2 linked regions of the Coturnix japonica genome follow. The protein of the gene in region 1 interacts with the protein of each later gene in a biochemical or structural test. Links are inferred from orthologs where the notes say so. Each region holds a gene or a part of one and is shown on either strand. Other genes may lie near its edges.

Evidence for each region.
Region 2: of the proteins of AMFR (region 1) and HERPUD1, one has a biochemical effect on the other in vitro, tested with the Homo sapiens proteins (6 studies listed by BioGRID and IntAct, with this or other methods). The link is inferred for Coturnix japonica from reciprocal best matches to the Homo sapiens genes AMFR and HERPUD1.

Annotation. Positions count from the first base shown.
Region 1 is NC_029526.1:517,822-521,877, forward strand, and holds the start of AMFR (E3 ubiquitin-protein ligase AMFR), read right to left. Parts: upstream 2,820-4,056; 5' UTR 2,758-2,819; coding exon 2,566-2,757; intron 2,237-2,565; coding exon 2,144-2,236; intron 1,000-2,143; coding exon 835-999; intron 1-834. Other genes in the region: NUDT21 (cleavage and polyadenylation specificity factor subunit 5), read right to left, coding at 3,614-3,635, 3,823-3,937. UniProt on the Homo sapiens protein: E3 ubiquitin-protein ligase that mediates the polyubiquitination of lysine and cysteine residues on target proteins, such as CD3D, CYP3A4, CFTR, INSIG1, SOAT2/ACAT2 and APOB for proteasomal degradation.
Region 2 is NC_029526.1:1,857,915-1,860,633, reverse strand, and holds the end of HERPUD1 (homocysteine-responsive endoplasmic reticulum-resident ubiquitin-like domain member 1 protein), read left to right. Parts: intron 1-635; coding exon 636-741; intron 742-1,239; coding exon 1,240-1,410; 3' UTR 1,411-2,206; downstream 2,207-2,719. UniProt on the Homo sapiens protein: Component of the endoplasmic reticulum quality control (ERQC) system also called ER-associated degradation (ERAD) involved in ubiquitin-dependent degradation of misfolded endoplasmic reticulum proteins.

The DNA of each region.
Region 1 (4,056 bases):
TAATAATGATTTCTCCCCACATGAACTTTGTTCTCTTACAACTCTCTGAACAAGCCCAAGACCCAATGACCGCCCGGTTCATTCTATTCTCCATTTCCTGAGCCCCAGCCCATCTCATCTCAAGTTTGGTGCTCAGCTCCTTGTGAGGTGACAGGCCTTACTGGATATTAATAACAAAATAAAGGAATTATAAAACTACCAGGAGGAAATTCATGGATCCAGTTTAGTTCAAACTCTTATTTCAGGATGGAGGAGCTGAGGAAAACACGCATGCATTATAGATGCTAAAAGAACAAGTCTTACTGTCCAATGTCCCGTTTCACCCTTGCCTAGCTTTCAGTTTCTGGTCTCCCTACCAAATTTACAGAAACTGCACACAGCTTATGAAGAAAGTTGTGTTGGGTGTCGTAAAGGCTTTGGGACTCAGTACTGGGTAGATGTTGGGACTCAGCACTGGGTAGATGTAAGTGAGCTTTTACAGATCAGTCCCAAAGGGACTAAGGTTCTAAGTTCTAAGGGAAGTTCTGCTCTCCAGATTTCTCCACTAAGAGCAATGAAGACAAGACACAGAGCTATGCAGCAGTAACTATGGGGCACATATATGGAACAATTCATTAAAGAGAATACATATCTTCAGCTCTACTTGTCTGATGAGAAAACTGAAGGAGTAAGATTGACACGGCATTCCAAAGCAATCATTTGAAGCTAAAAGAAGGTGCATTTGTTCTGCACCTCAGGTGGGGAAGAGGCCTAAATGATCTGCTTGCAGCCTATCCTAACCCAGTGCCTCTAAATCTGCAAACCCCAAAAGAGAGCCCTTAAATCAAAACTTACGTATTCAAAGCGATCCTTACAGAGCTGGACCATGAGATGAAGAAACACAAGCCCAGAGAACCAGAGGCACCACATGACCACTTCTTCCACTGTCTGAACATTCAGCACACCAAAAATGAAGATGAACTTGTAGAAGATGAAATTCCAGAACTTATCCTTGAGATGCTGAAAAGAAAGGAAGGAAGGCACTCAGTTACTATGGAGAGAGCACTGACAATCCACACGTTTTGTTAAAGAACACAATGAAACCACCAGGACAGTTCAGACATGCCCAGAATTCCTTCCCAATGCTGACAAGTGTTGGTTCACCAGCAACGATAACCAGCCTACCCGCAGAGCACACTCTCACTATCCAAAAACGAACGAATCCAGTCACTGCCTCTCACTTCAGTTTTTAAAGAGAGGAGAGAACCTGGGAATTATCGCTGGTTAAAATTCCACATCCTCACTGTCAACATGCATGACCAAAAAACAAGTGTGACTGAATTACCTGCTTGTTATATACTTCACTCAAAAGCTCTGAGGGAGTGAACCACAGATACAACAGGCTTTGAGGGACCTGTGGCTACTCACAAAGCATTACGTGCCACAGCTCCCTGTGCCAAAAATGATCACAGCCTGATTTTTCCTAGAGAACTATGTTTACATGTTTATTTTTAAGATACCTACTATCCCAACTACTGCTGTTGCTGCTTTTATCTTTTGCAGGATCCTGCTTTAAAAAGCCTGAGCAGTAATGGTCCTTTAGCTGCGTTCTGACAAACCTTCTCACCCATGATAAGTTCAGGAAATAGCAGTGTGAGATTTCAGTCCTGGCCACATGCATGTCATCGCCTCCATGCCTGAGGCTGGAGAGCACCCATACTTGTGCAGCACTCAGGGTACAGAGCAAGGCGTGCGAGTTAGCAACACTGGCACTTCCCTAACTGGGAAATGCAGTGGAGAAATGTCACCATATACAAGCAAAACAGGGAAGAAAACAGATGTTGTGAGTGCCCTGAACTGAGGTGGGCTTGTAAGAAATCTGGCAATGTGTACAAAGGGTTTGCAAGTTGACCCCGAACTTGTAAAATACCATTAAACAATGATGAAGTTCCCTCCAGAAAAACACTGGAAGCCTCTAACTGCAGATACAGGAGTATCTCCTGGGGAGATTGTTTTCTACATGGTGCTACTGGACAGCACGCTCAGCACTGAGAACTCCAGCACAGAGAACTCAGAGATAGGGCTGAAATGTGTTTTAAAGCTTATTTATACTGTGTGTTCAGCAGTTCCACGTAGCAAACACAGCAGTGCTGTGCTGCCTTACCTGCCTCTCGCTGACTCGCAGCGGGCCGAACACCGCGCGCTGGATCAGCTTAGCGACCAGCATCAGGACACAGCACGCCGTGTTCACCAGCACCTGCACGGAAACAAAGCAGTCAGCGACGGATCCTTCTGCCCCGCTCCGAGAGGAGCCCAACAGAGGCTGCTTTGTGCGCCGCGCAGCTCTGATGAAACGTAACCCTGCCCTCCGTACGACACGGGCCGATCGCTCATCTCGCTTTCTAGAAACGCGAACCCCTCCCGGCAGAACGCCCGGCAAACAAAGCTGCCGCTGCCCGAGGAGCCGCTCACCCGGCCCGGCACGTTCTGGCGCTAAGGGCCTCCATGTCGGCACGCGGAGCAAGACTATGGCCCCCAGAGCACCACGGCCCCCAGAGCACCACGGCCCCCGTCGGCCCGGCTCACCCAGACGCAGAGGCTGTCGGACAGCAGGTAGTACGCCACGTCCAGGGCCCGCGGCCCGCCCGCCCGCTGCTCGCCGGCCGCGCTGAGGGCGCGCTGAGCGCTGAAGGCGGCGGCCAACAGGGCCAGGCCGCTGAGCGCCGCGTACGTGCGCAGGCTGGGCCAGGGGAAGCGCTCCAGGAACAGGAGCGGCATCGCGGAGCCCCGCGGCCGCCGCCGCCTCTCGGCCCCGCTTCCTGCGGCCCTTCCGCCCGCCGGCGCCGCCCCTCGGCCCGCACCGCCCCGCGCTGAGTCACCGGGCGGGACTCCGGCAGCGCGGCCCGCGCTCCTTCGGCGCCCAGAGCTGCGGCGCGGCCCTGCGGCCTTGGGCGGGGTTACGGCGGCCCCGCTCCCGGGTAACAGCGAGAGAACGGAGCGCCGGGCGCACGGTGCGGGCCGGCTGGGCTGTCGGAACGCTGCAACAAGAGCCAGGTGCTCGCACGGCTGCCCGTGAACGGAGAGGCACCGTGCCTGGAGCTGCTGCCTGCACACCGCGCTGCTATAGCGCCTACAGTCAGTCCTGGAGCTACATAAAATATCCAGAATCACTAAGTTGGAATAGACTCTGAGATCACGGAGCCCAACCATCCACATCCCTCAGTGCCGCTCCTCTCCAGCACCTCCAGGCACTGGCTGCACCACCTCCCCCAGCAGCTTTCAGCATCTGCCGTGTACTTCCAAAGTTTCAGTCGCATTCTTCCAACTAGAAGACAACTACAGGAAGAACAAACTCCACAAAAGACAACCAGTCGGTTCCATCTCGTTTAATGTCGTACAAAAAAAACTGGTGAGTATTACAATGGAAAGTGATAAAATCACTGACATCACGCTGCCATCCTGCTACCTAAACAGCTGAGATTCACTTCTCTATTCATACAAGAGAATCTTAGTGGCCTTCGGGAAAGGAACAAAAATGAAATCCTCGAGTCAACACATTCTTTTTTCTACATCATAAAGCTGTGCTCACAGAGACGGCTTCTTCAATCAGATTCCTCAGGTGTTGGACAGGAACTCAGTTGTAAATAAAGTTGAACCTAAAATTGGAAGAGTTACACCAAGTGAGAGACTTCTATTCCATTTAATTAACTGACATTCTGGAACATGAACAGGCAAACGTTTTTATTCCTGAGCAGCCTCCACCTGACACAGCAAAAGTGATTTATTTTGCTTTGCCTTAAGGCCCGGGCTCCCAGAACCACAGTGCAAGCAAACACAACGTACCTGCTCAAAAGCTGAGGAAGGCTGGAAATAATGGGTCCGTATCCTGGTGCATTGTCATAGAGCTCAAACAACGGTGCAGCTACAAGCTTGTAATTTTTGGGGACTGCAAACAAAGCTACCAATAAATAAAGCTGGTTAGTATTAAATGAAAAATATCACCAAGCATTCAGGCAAGGGTACTCCCAACAGATCTCAAAGCAAGATCATGTAGCACTAGACTACCAAAGTAGGTTT
Region 2 (2,719 bases), about 1.3 Mb from region 1:
GGTACACCTCGGCATTCAGCAGAAATACAGTTACAGCCTCTGGGTTCAGAGTAGAAAGGATAGGTGATGGGGAATCATCTTGCCCCCTCTTCTGGTGTAGTTGATTTTCCTTTTGGAAAACTATTGGAAGACAAAGTAACTCCTAGTGTAAAGCCACAGCGTCTCTGTGAAAGTTGGGAAGCAGTTGACAAGTGCTTGAAATCTTGGGAGGGAGCCTTGCTTCTTCTCTGTAAGTCATGTAGCCATGTGAGTTTTTGTTATTAGAACACAAAGCTTAAAGTGATGTTGTGAGTTGCTTCTAAGCTGCTCTAGAAGGCAAAAACGGGATAAATCATGAGTAGAATACAGATAGCCCGCCCTTGGGGGGCATTTCTGGGGTGTCTGTGTCCTCTCATACACTGTTTGATCACCAGTGAGGTAATGGGTGCAGGTCTGTGAGTTCCTGTCAGCCTCAGAGTTGAAACTGCAGCTTAAAAATGCACTTCTGTATGTGCGGACTTGTAGAAAGAAAGCCAATGGCTTCATCAACTCCTGAAATGCACTGTTGTTAGTCCCCATATGCAATGTTATTCAGTTACCTTGATGTGGCAGGAAGGAGTCGCGTGTAACCACACAAATATATTGCCTTCCCTCAGGCACCATGTTGGATGGTTCCCCTTTAGACAACGACGAGCACAGCCTTTCCCAGATAACGTCCCTCCTCAGGCTGCTGTAAACCAGGACCAGAACAATAACTTGCAGGTATTGTGTTTTATACAACATGAGCATGAGATGCAGTGAGGTTTTTACTGTGCATTAATTACACAAGCAGTGAGAATTCTGCATTGCCAGCCTGCTTCCTCTTGTGGGGCGCTGAAGTGCTGTGTGTTATCTTCTACTTGTTGGGTGTTGGAATGGCCTGTTGCAGCCTAAGTTCTGTAACGGAACTCAGGTTGGAGTATGAGAGCAGGTGGAGTCCTGCATTTCCAGCAATGCTTGGGGTTGTTGTCAGTGTTTGCTGAGTTAATTAGCTATAAAGGAAACAGCTGACCACATAAGCCATGTATGCATCTGTCCTAAGCAGTATATTCTTAACTTGGGTTCAGTATATTCTTAACTTGGGTTGTTGGGGGTTACTTCAATAGAGAAGCACTATGTAGGTTTTATACTGACAGTGCAATATGAGTAATGATGCAGCTTAGCACCCAATTACCCTAATGCACTTCTGCAGCGGTTCTCACTGAGTGTTCTTCCTTTCAGCAGGGAGGGAATGCAGGCGGAGCAGAGGAACCTGAGGCCCTTCCTGATGCTGGACAAGTTCTGCCAGAGCTGCCACAGGCCAACCCGTCCCTTATGAGCACAGCGTGGCTGTTCTTCAAGACCTTCTTTGCATCCCTTCTTCCAGAAGGGCCCAGACTGACTCGCAACTGAAGTGGCACCATTTCCTTCACTGGAATGTCAGTGAGCTCCAGTCCTGAGCAAATCAGATGCCAACCCCAAAGCAGGAGTGAAAACGTGTGGCATTTCTCTGGCCTTCACTGATGAAACTGCAAGAGGCCTTAAGTTGTTGCAATACAGACACAAGATGATTGCCCTCATTCCAAAGAACTTTCTTCCGTAGCATTTATTGGGTACCTTTGTAGAGGCTTGGCATTGTAATCTTGTGCACTAAATGCACAGGCTCTGAGCAGGTGTGCAGAGATGTTAGAGAAGCAAATTGCTTCTTCCGTGCAATGTGATTCCTGTTGGAATGTTTCAAATGCTATTTAAATTACACTGAGTGTAGTACCTTCAATTGCTAGATGAGCATTAGCAGGTTTTTAGGAAAGATCTACTGTTCAATTGCTTCAATGGTGTTTTAAATTCCGCTTTGTAAATATTTTCCTATGAGAGATGCATTGTGCCATTTCCTTGGCTGAAGGGGCAGCTGTGGGGCACAGTGACCTCAGTGGAGCTGCAGGTTTCCAACTGCCCAACACGTCCTTCATACTCAAGGCTGATTTCTTTTTCTCTGCTCTCAAATCATGGGAGAGGAGTTAAGTGCATTCAACTTCAATCAAGAGTTTATGCAAGACTTGATTTGACTGCTTTAGATATGAAATCAAAGCAGTCTGAGACCTGTATTTAATGTAGAGGCGTTTTCACTCGACAGCAACTCTGTTGTGTTTGTTTCCTTCGATGTGGCTGAGGGCTTTGATTCAATAAAATCTGCGGTCGCTTATCTGTACTTGCATGTGCTCTACAGCAGAGCACGTTGTGTGCTCTGCTTGAAATTGAAAGGCCATGAGGCTTTGGGTCAATTCAGGGTAAGTCTTAACAGCACCACCAACAATGTCTGAGTATGGGGTGGGCGGGGGTAGGGGAAGGGGCTCCAGTGGACAGCCTGGCCTTGTGCAGGGGACAGGCTGATGTCCCTGTGCTGCCCTCAGGGCTGGTTACTCCAGGGCAGAGATGTTTGATGTTTGTGGCACTGTTGTTGTAGGTGGAGGCTGCATGGCCCTTCCTTTCCTGCAGGAGGTCAATGCCCTGCAGTGCCTTGTCCTCCCCTGCCCTCCTGCAGGCTGTGAAGGAGCTGGGAATGGCTGAGGGGTAAAACTGATGCTGTGCTGTTCTGTCTTTAGCCCCTTGTTGAGGGCAACTTTAGGAACAGGAGGGAGATCATCTGTTTATAGGGTCTGATAGTGATAGGACAAAGGAAAATAGTCTTATACTAACAGGAGATGCAGGTTGGATGTCAGGA